Linked DNA regions of Arabidopsis thaliana. The protein of the gene in region 3 interacts with the protein of the main gene of each other region in a pairwise test. Each region holds a gene or a part of one and is shown on either strand. Other genes may lie near its edges. The genes, in order: IAA29, AT3G22660 and HB32.

The links.
Region 1: the proteins of HB32 (region 3) and IAA29 interact in binary tests that used the Arabidopsis thaliana proteins (3 or more experiments, as listed by UniProt).
Region 2: the proteins of HB32 (region 3) and AT3G22660 interact in binary tests that used the Arabidopsis thaliana proteins (3 or more experiments, as listed by UniProt).

What each region holds. Positions count from the first base shown.
Region 1 is NC_003075.7:15,581,624-15,585,406, reverse strand, and holds IAA29 (indole-3-acetic acid inducible 29), read right to left. Parts: upstream 2,076-3,783; 5' UTR 1,929-2,075; coding exon 1,669-1,928; intron 1,485-1,668; coding exon 1,156-1,484; coding exon of another isoform or gene 1,145-1,155; exon of another isoform or gene 1,051-1,144; coding exon 960-1,050; intron 855-959; coding exon 779-854; 3' UTR 509-778; downstream 1-508. UniProt on the Arabidopsis thaliana protein: Aux/IAA proteins are short-lived transcriptional factors that function as repressors of early auxin response genes at low auxin concentrations.
Region 2 is NC_003074.8:8,015,454-8,019,402, reverse strand, and holds AT3G22660 (rRNA processing protein-like protein), read left to right. Parts: upstream 1-1,894; 5' UTR 1,895-2,006; intron 2,007-2,284; coding exon 2,285-3,166; 3' UTR 3,167-3,352; downstream 3,353-3,949. Other genes in the region: AT3G22670 (Pentatricopeptide repeat (PPR) superfamily protein), read left to right, coding at 1-1,632; CEG (F-box and associated interaction domains-containing protein), read right to left, coding at 3,443-3,949. UniProt on the Arabidopsis thaliana protein: Required for the processing of the 27S pre-rRNA. Plays an important role in plant growth and senescence by modulating ribosome biogenesis in nucleolus. Associates with ribosomes.
Region 3 is NC_003070.9:5,046,215-5,049,390, forward strand, and holds HB32 (homeobox protein 32), read left to right. Parts: upstream 1-1,567; 5' UTR 1,568-1,831; coding exon 1,832-2,338; 3' UTR 2,339-2,539; downstream 2,540-3,176. Other genes in the region: AT1G14686 (ENTH/ANTH/VHS superfamily protein), read right to left, coding at 1-586. UniProt on the Arabidopsis thaliana protein: Putative transcription factor.

The DNA.
Region 1 (3,783 bases), on a different chromosome or scaffold from region 3:
ATAACTTTAGTAGATCTAAAGTTGTGTTTCTCTAAATTTCACTAAAATATCTATTTTCCTTATATAAAGATTATGTTTGTCATATTATTTAATTTAAAGATTATAAACTTATGATATAATTTTATGCAAATTGTAAATATAATAACCATTTTAATAAAAGATTTTCTTATATATCATTCATTATTGATTAATATTTTAATCTAAATTACGCATTTTAAGCTAAGATCAATAATATTCATTTTAAATTTTGTTATCAGCTATTCAGCTAATTAAATTGTTTAAGAAATGTATCAGTTTTTATGTCATTTTTTTTCTGTTTACTCATGCTTTTTTTTTTCCCCTTGTTTACTCACAATTTAAAATCGTACTCCGATCTAATTCAAACCAAAATTTAATTACTTGGAAATCTCTTGAATCACATAAAGTGACATACTTACTTGTGTAAAACCCGGACGTCCGCAACCATTACATTCTTATGGTTTCTCAATCAAACAAGTCTATGAAAAAAAAATCAATTCGGTACACACAAAAAGTCTAACATCTTAATTATTATCAGCTAGTCTGTCTTTGACAATTCATGAGTTTTTTTTACTTTTGAATTTTCTTTAGCTTTTTGTCCATGTGTTAGCCATGGATCAGATAACAACAGATTATAAACCATTGGATTTGATACTAAGAACTAGAAGAATAGAGGAAAAAGATCGAGTGGAAATTTAATCAAATGATAGACATTTTAATTACAAAATAAAAAATAATGGTCCGATTTGAACGCCTATCCTTAAAACAAACATCTTGTATATGCACACGGTCGATCTCTAATTATTGATATCCGATGAACAGATTCCGCAAAGATCCTACAAAACCAAAACAACAAGTTAAGTATCAATATATAAGAAAGAGAGTATAGTAGTCATTACTCAATAAGTCATTTTTCTTGAAATATAGAGAAGTAAACTTACTTCCATGTAACATCCCCTCGAAGTAGCCAGTCACCCTCTTTCCCTTGGAAGGTGAATGTATAATTTGTATCTTCTCTGTCGCAATCTTCATCTGATAACCCAAAATTAGATTCAATAGTAGTAAAAAGTTACGTTCTATTTTCAATTGTTTATAGGTTTCTTACTCTAGATTTTGATAAACGTAATTAGTACTTACATTCGGTAAACATAGTGATCAAGGAGTTAGTGAGGGACTCGTAAGAGTTAAAAAGCTTGATATCCACTTTTCTTGCTATTGCCACACCATCCATCTTAACCTTAACATACATTGATGATCTTGATGATATTGACGAAGAAGATGATGATCCCACAGTAGCCGTTGTTGGATTAGATATGTTGTTGTTCATCGCCGTGATCCTCCTACCACGATGATGATACGGGCAATGATGGTGATTACGAATATGACGATGATGATAACTACCATACTTTATCATACATGTTTTTACTGGTGGCCATCCAACAACTTCGCTATTTTCCTCCTCATCACTAAATATTAAAATTAATTATATGTTACAAAAAAATACAAATTATGCCTCTCCATTGAGTTAACTACAAGTCTACAACATCATAACATTTTTGAAAACTACGGAGTCATTTATTATATAATAATACTAGATGTAACTACTTTAACCTAATTGTTGTCAAATACTAAAATAGTCAAGGTACTCACTCGTAAACTATTGAAGACTCGGATTCCAGAGGATCTTCGTCTTCCTCGTTGGGCTGGCCATTCAAGGCAAACAAACGCTGTTTTGGCATATAACAATTTTCCTCCACATTCCCTAACCCAAACGTCGCCTCAAAACGCAGTTTTTCGGTACCCAAACAAGACGCAGCACCCTCGATCGCACAATGCTTGTTGAGGTCAAAGTTAAACCCTAACTTGGAAGATTTATGAGGTGAAAGAGATAGACCAAGATCCAACTCCATTTCTAAGGCAGCTTCGTCTTTGATGAAACTAAAAGCTTTTGTTCTTTTATTATTGGCTTTGGAAAAGGTTGTGTTCGTTGGTGTTGATTGCTGAATTAGAGGATCATGAGTATTCCTATTTATAGTAAAAGGAAATGGGGGCAGAGGTCAAGGAGTAATATATGGCTTTATCAAAAATATACATATATATGTATATAATATTATGTACATTTTATGTAACCCACACAAATATAGATGTGGATAGATGGTATCTTAACCAACACGCTACTATTTATTCTAAACAACTAAAACAGTAATCATTCAAGTATTAGAATATACTAGTAATTTATATCGTTAAATTCTGAACTTTTAGTTCTATATCTTCTTGGCCCATAATATAGAACATATAGTTGGCTAGGATAATTATTATCTTAAAATGTTTCATAGTAGTATGTAAATCTAGACCCAACATGACTGAAGTAACGTTTCACCAGATAACTTATCTTTTTACGAATATTCATCTCTATAAGATCCAATGAAGTACGAAATCATATAGTTTAGGAAGTAACACAAAACCAATAGTCTATACCAAAAACAGGTGATACTAAACAGTTTTAGATTTTCTGATTTTTATGAATATATGAAATTTATGGCTTTCACGTTAAGCGAAAGGTAGTGAGGAAGTTCCTAGTTCTCCGAAGGAAAAAGGTCTTTTGGGAGAGAAGTAATGGCTTCCGACATTGATTAAGTTCGGGTCGGCCAATATCCCAACATTGATGCTAACACATTTTTACATTATTTTATCTAAAGTTTTATGCTTTTCTGCTTTAAATACATCTTATAAATTTTATTTTTATATTCAAGATCCACCTTATCTACACTGTATAACAAGTTCTCACCTACTTTTAATTTCAAATTTTGATCAAAACATAACATTATTACAAACGATTATATCATAAATTCCGCTCATTATATAATGAGCAAAACTTGCAAAATAAATTTATGGAAGGATTTACGGCTGCTAACTTGTGTTAGATGTGCGTCTTTAATTCATACTTTTGGCAATATGACAATCAACATATTTTAAAAAAAAAAATTAAGCATGTACTAAAAGAATGATAAAGTGCATCTATACTAAGAAATAAGAAGATGCATATTTCGTCAAGAGACACATGATTCAACGAATTTAGACATCCAACATCAAACCAACACGAATATTAGTAATAGACAAGTTTGGTTAATGTTGGAACGGACAACGTCCCATATTTTTGTTTACATTCTATGTTTCCAATAGAAAATTTGGTTTCGCACGGAAAAGGTGGAATTTAAGAATCATTGTATACAATACTATAAATGTGATACTTAAACTGATAACTGTAAGTAATACTCCTAGCAAACTCTGATTTTTCAGCTTGTCATAACTTTTGTTAACCTTTTAAGAGACAAAACTATCACTAGACATTTATAGCTTGACTCACTATACAAGTATTGACTTCATCAGTTGCAATTTTGTGGGGAAGAGTTGGATCAAATTATGAATAAGGGCTATTAAGTACGGTTTGCCTATCCTGAGGTACTTTGCTCTATATGGGAAGGAACATAGTTATTACTTTTTATAAACATAAATTTTGACAACTGTTGTTTTTATTGTAACCAACAAATTGAGGATCTTTATAGCTTATAGTTTCTTTGGATTGATTACGTAAACTAATTGAAACGACTAGTACCTCCTCCCCTATTTGACTAGGATACAATCATACAACGTAACAGGTTGAATTGCCGACATATGATTTTATTAAAACCAGTGTTTAAAAACTGATATTAGACTATCTGGTCGAACCAAATTCATTTATAAACAAAATAAAGCAACACAATT
Region 2 (3,949 bases), on a different chromosome or scaffold from region 3:
TTCCAACGGAGGTTTCTGGTAACGAATAACACTGCAGAGGAGTCGCCGATTGTTGCCGCAGAGTCACCGGAGCTACCGTCTTGGATTAAAGACTTTCTATCAAACAAGCCTTCTTCTTCATCGAGTTCGGTTTCCAAAGATGATGAAGATTTTGTTATCCCTTCTTTGGCGAATTGGGTCGAGAGCCAGAAGTTTAGTCGTCAACAAGTCTCAGAGGGAAATGTAGTGAAGAAACCAGTGGAAGATATTGATAAAGTTTGCGACTTTTTGAATAAGAAGGACACGTCTCATGAGGATGTTGTTAAAGAGTTGAGTAAATGCGATGTGGTGGTTACAGAGAGTTTGGTTTTGCAAGTTCTAAGAAGGTTTAGTAATGGTTGGAATCAAGCTTACGGGTTTTTCATTTGGGCAAATTCACAAACAGGTTATGTGCATTCAGGTCATACTTATAATGCAATGGTTGATGTGTTGGGGAAATGTAGGAATTTTGATTTGATGTGGGAATTAGTCAATGAGATGAACAAGAATGAAGAATCTAAGCTTGTTACGCTTGATACGATGAGTAAGGTTATGAGGAGATTGGCCAAGTCAGGGAAATATAATAAAGCTGTTGATGCTTTTTTAGAGATGGAGAAGAGTTATGGTGTGAAAACAGATACTATTGCTATGAACAGTTTGATGGATGCACTTGTGAAAGAGAATAGTATAGAGCATGCTCATGAAGTTTTTCTGAAGCTTTTCGATACAATCAAGCCGGATGCGCGGACATTCAACATTTTGATTCACGGTTTTTGTAAAGCTCGGAAATTTGATGATGCTAGAGCGATGATGGATTTGATGAAGGTTACTGAGTTCACTCCTGATGTTGTTACTTACACTAGCTTTGTGGAAGCTTATTGCAAGGAAGGGGATTTTAGGAGGGTTAATGAAATGTTGGAAGAGATGCGAGAGAATGGGTGTAATCCTAATGTTGTGACTTATACTATTGTGATGCATTCTTTGGGTAAATCTAAACAAGTAGCTGAAGCTTTAGGAGTGTATGAGAAGATGAAAGAAGATGGTTGTGTTCCTGATGCTAAGTTTTATAGCTCATTGATACATATTTTGTCGAAGACTGGTAGGTTTAAGGATGCAGCTGAGATATTTGAGGACATGACGAATCAAGGAGTTCGTCGTGATGTTTTAGTCTACAATACCATGATTTCCGCTGCGCTTCATCACTCACGAGATGAGATGGCTCTACGTTTGCTTAAAAGGATGGAGGATGAGGAGGGGGAATCATGTAGTCCAAACGTTGAGACTTATGCTCCATTGTTGAAGATGTGTTGCCATAAGAAGAAAATGAAGCTACTTGGAATATTATTGCATCACATGGTGAAAAACGATGTTAGTATCGATGTTTCGACATATATTCTTCTCATTAGAGGGTTATGTATGAGCGGGAAAGTTGAAGAAGCTTGCTTGTTCTTTGAGGAAGCAGTACGAAAAGGAATGGTTCCTAGAGATAGCACTTGCAAAATGTTGGTAGATGAGCTTGAGAAGAAAAATATGGCAGAAGCAAAACTCAAGATTCAGAGTTTGGTTCAATCGAAAACAATGATTGATTCTCACAGTCCTTTATCTGTTTCGTAGAGATTAGAGTTTTGGAGCCTTGGCTCAAAGTTTTGTTTTCCTTTCTGTTGAATGATACTCTTATACTATGTTAGATCTCAAATCATGTGACCTTTACTAAAATGAAATGAATCAATTTGTCACAAGTTTTCATGTCTTAGATCCGGTTTATAAATAGTAACGGGAACCAATTGAGCGATAATTTGAACCCGGTATGATCCGGTTTTGTGAGATTTCCGGTTTAGTATAAAGCAGAAAAGGGTTTTACAAAGTCGAAGCCTTTAAAACTAAGTTTCTTCTTCTTCTTCCTTGCGCCGGCGGGTTCACTATCTCTCTTCTCTCTCTCAAAAACCCTACTCAAGCACAAGCTTCTTCAATCTTCTCCGTAATCAACAGTAAGTTTTCTTCTATTCCTTCTCAAAGGGTTTGTGTCAATAGAATGATAAACCCTAATTTTGTTCATGGTTATAATCTTAAGTCCTTAGATAAAGTATCGAACTTTATTGTCATATAGAAGGTAACGGAACCAGTTATGGAATCTCTCTTTGCGTTGGTGACTTATAAACCCTAGTTTCTGTGATTCGCCAAGTTTTTTTTTTACCCAAAGGTATAAAAGTCTGAACTTTTTTGATTCTGAATCTAATTTTGTTTGTTGTTATCGAATTTTGAGTAGATGTCATTGGAAGAGGATATAGTATCAGATGATGAGATGAACATGATTGATGAGGATGATGCTACTGACTCCGAAGCGGAGTCTCTTTCGGATTCGGATACAGAGAACGAGATCACCGAGAAATTGGCTGAGCCTACGAAGACTGCGATATACAACAGAGATGGGTTGCTTGATAAGCTTCAAGATATTAGCTGGCCTGAAGATGTTGATTGGACTCATAAGCTTACTGTTGAGATTGACCAGGGAGGAGCTGTGGATGTAAACGATGACCTTGCGAGAGAGACGGCGTTCTACACTCAAGCGCTTGAAGGGACAAGAGAAGCGTTTGGTAAACTCAATGAAATGGGTGTGAATTTTCTCAGGCCTGCGAATTACTATGCGGAGATGGTGAAATCGGATGTTCATATGGAGAAAGTGAAGTCTCGGCTTTTGCATGAGAAGAAACAGATTGAGGAGTCTGAAGAGAGGAGGAAGGCTAGGGATAATAAGAGAATGGCTAAGGAAGTACAGTCTCAGAAGATGAAGGAACGTGCGAAGGAGAAGAAGGATAACATTGAGTCTGTGAAGAAGTGGAGGAAACAGAGGCAGCAGAGTGGGTTTAGTGATAAAGCTGGTGAGCCTGAACTTGATTTCGAAAGTGGAAAGAGTTTCCAGAGAGGAGGAGGTAAGAAAAGACCAGGTGTGTCTCCCGGAGATCGATCAGGAGGTAAAGGAAGGCCTACTTCGAGGATGGGCAACAAGAAGAGGGAGTTTCGGGATTCCAAGTTTGGTCATGGTGGTAGGAAGGGTTTGAGCAAGCAGAACACAGCAGAGACGACAAACGATTTCAAAGGCGGTTTCCGTGGTGGAAAAGCTAGCGGAAACAAGAGGCAGAAGAGGTAAAAGGTTTGATTATCTAAACCCACTTCAAAACTACTATAAACTATTTGTCTTCTTTGTTTTTTTTAAGAACATGTATTTTGTTTTGGAAACCCTGTGGTAAGGGTCTTAGAACCAATACAATTTTGTACTAGTGATTACTTGAATTAACAAAGTCCCTTGTTTGAAGTCTCATAGTTAACACTTGAAGTTGAAACTTTATATGATAGAAATACAACAAAACAAAGCTTAGAGCATACAAAAAAAAAATCCTGAAACCAGTAGCAACCCTAGGAAGTTTTATTCTGGAACTGGAACCAGACTTGGAACATATGCATAACCGCAAACAAAAGGCCTATTATCACTACACAAATCACATCGTCCTGCATCAATTTGTTTCTTCACTATTCCATCTTTACTAATCATGCAAACGCTAACGCAAACATCATCATCGGTTTCCTCTTCGGTCTCTTGCTCACACCATACCATGATATTATCGTTCTTGTCAATGAAATAACTTGGATGAGTGAGATGTTGATCAGTATGTAATGTCGGGAGATCAGGGCTAGTCACGTCTACGTACTTGGTCCATGAGACTACCTCATCGCTCAATTTGTTTGTGATCCAAACTTCGATCTTCATTGTTTCTCCACTTTGATGTAACAAAGAAAGCCTATCTCCTCTTAAACTCGATAAGGCTGCCGTGTCTAATACATTACATTCGAATGGAAGATTGCAAACGATTTTGAATGTCTCTGTGGAGAAATCAAAACTCTGGATGAAAATTTCGGGTCTATTATTCCAATG
Region 3 (3,176 bases):
TAACCACATTCTCCATAGCTTCATTAATCACAGGTATCATCATGTTTTCACCAATCGGTTTGATTCTAATCAAAGAATCAACAATAATCTGCATCTTACGAATAATCACAAGTCGAATCAGAACCGATGATTCTTCGTTGTATCGATGACGATTCCCATCGTGAAACAGAATCGATCTTCGATCAAGAAACGCGAAATAAGCACGTACGAAGAGATTAAACCCACCGGATTTGCTCATAATCCGTGAATTACCTTCGCCGAAACTCGAAAGATCGAAAGGTAACCGTCCGATCGATTCTGCTACGGTTGATTTACAGAGGAAGAAGCCGTGCATTAGCATTAAGCCTTTTAAAGCAACCGCCCAGCTTCGCGTGCGTTTCACGCGAGACGAGATTAAGCTTACGAGAGGCTTGAGGCTTGACGGGCTAGAGAGAACGTGACGGTAGATGAATTGAGCGCTCTCTGTATCAATGGAGAGCTCGTCGTGGCTTGTAGCTTTCACAACGGCTGCTGTGAGAATGTCATCAGCCGCGATGAGACTAGGTCCGTCTTTGAGAACTACGGCGGCGCGTTTCCAAAGCTTCATCTTCCGACTAATGTGTGTGGTTTCAAATTGTTAGTTTCTATTTCGCGCTTTATAATTTTCATTTTAAACCGTGTTTTGTTTTCTTTGATGTCAATTCTTTGCTGGTTTAAAACGAATTAGATAAGGATAAGCTAAAATTAAGAAATCTCAGTTTTGACCAAAATAAAAAAAGATATTTTTGATGTCGTTACTAAATTATTATCTTCCATTTTTCAGTTTAACTCGATTGATTACGTAATAAGTTCATTAGATAAGTGTTGTTTGGTTGGCTTTTCTATATGTTTCGTTGATTTTGTTTTGAGGCAATTTTCTAGTGTAGTAGTGTTGTAATCGTATATAATGTATGTGGTTTGAGCAAGTCAAATTATGACTTTGTTTGTACAATATGGAAATATACATATCTTAATTATTAATGGTGTGATTGATATCGTTAAGCCGTAAAATAATCGTTTAGCTTGCTAAATTACACACAAAACATAAAGTAGGCAAATGAACATATACGATAGTGAATAGTCAACTCGTGGGTCACACAATTGCTTTTTTGCTAAACCTCTTAAAAGAAAGCGTTTCAGACTTCTTTTTGCAATAAAATCAGATTCTTTGAAAACTTTTGATCTTTGCTTCTTAATTATAGTTTCATTTTAGTTACAATATATTATTGATATTTCTCAATTTTACAAAATTAGTTTCTTAAATCTTACTTTTATAAATCAAAATACTTCTACTTATTTAGAAACATGTGACCTCTATACAATCCAAACTTATTAAATTTGTTTATACCTATATTAAAAACTTATTACTAATATATTAGTACTAGTTTACTAGTACTAATTAGCCGCTATAGTTTTACAAAAAGTGGTTTAGTTTTCTTATTCCTCATTATTGCTACTACACTTAACCCAATGGATTGAAAGAGTTAACTATGGGTAGAGATGACAACTTTATGAGCTGAGAGGATACGAAATTATGGATGTGTAGAAAAGCAAAGCCAGTGAAACAGTTCAAAAAGTGGGTTTTTCACATTTATTATGACAACTAATAAACACGTAAGTACAAAATCTTAAAGCAAGTAAGTAACAATAATTTTTGCTCTTTTTGTAACTCCCAACTCTTTCTGACACAAAAAAACACCATATCATAACTTAAGTAACCCAAAACCAAACTCTTCCAAAACAAACCCTAAACGCAAAAATCATTACTCAAAAAAAAACAAAGTCTCTCTCTTCTAATTAGAGAGCCAAGAAGATGCAGAGTACTTGTGTCTACAGAGAATGCATGCGCAACCACGCCGCGAAGCTCGGCTCTTACGCCATCGATGGCTGCCGTGAATACTCTCAACCATCCACCGGCGATCTCTGCGTCGCCTGTGGTTGCCACCGCAGCTACCACCGTCGTATAGACGTCATATCTTCTCCTCAAATCAATCACACGCGCTTCCCGTTCACGAGCTTAAGGCGCGTGAAGCAGCTGGCGAGGCTGAAATGGAAAACGGCTGAGGAAAGAAATGAGGAGGAGGAGGATGACACGGAGGAGACTTCGACGGAAGAGAAGATGACGGTGCAGAGGCGGAGGAAGTCAAAGTTCACGGCGGAGCAGAGAGAGGCGATGAAAGATTACGCGGCGAAGTTGGGATGGACGTTGAAGGATAAGAGAGCGCTTAGAGAAGAGATAAGAGTCTTCTGTGAAGGGATTGGTGTTACTCGTTATCATTTTAAAACTTGGGTTAACAATAATAAAAAGTTTTATCACTAACTAATTAACTAATATCCTTAATTGAGATAATACTATAATTTAGTTCCAATTTCATTTTCATCCCTTCTGTGTTAATTTCTCCTCCTTGATCGCTTATTTTAATGGATTATTATTTTATCATTAGTGGGTTTAATGTGTTTGATTTGGACATGTCCTTAATTACTAACTGGTTCACTCTTTAATTGGTCTTTATGATTCTTCTTTTTACGTCGGTGGGATTTGAGTTTTGACAAGACAACTAGCTGACGTTTTATTTATGGTCAATACTGTTCGCCAATCAGAATATTTATACGTAATAATATTGAAGTAGTTGAATAGTAGTACTAATTATTATGGGAAAGGATGGCAAAATGACATTTTGTTTTGATAGAAAATTGTAAAGATTACATATCTAATTCTAAAATTTGTAAATAATTAATGGTAAGATATATTTCACGTAATGAAAAGACAATTAGTTACGGAAATAACACAACATTGTGTTTTTTCGAGGTTTGTTACTAAAAATTATAATGACATCATCAAAGCCAATAAAAGCTGTTATGCTTTTTTTTGTAGAAATAGTCATTTCAAAAATAATTTTTATACTTTTTGCTTTTTTATAAAGTCGTAAAACCATATACTTAAAAGTATATACCAATAAAATTGTGAACTAATTGATTCATAAAATTGTAACTTTGCTACCATTATACCAAGCATCCCATTCCCACGAAAGTTTCAACTTTAATTGGGCTTTTGTTGGCATTTCAAGGCCAATAAGAACACCTTTGAGAAAACTAAAAAACATAGCTCTAGTCTACAATTATTCTAGTGTTTACCTACTGATTTAGAAAATGATTAG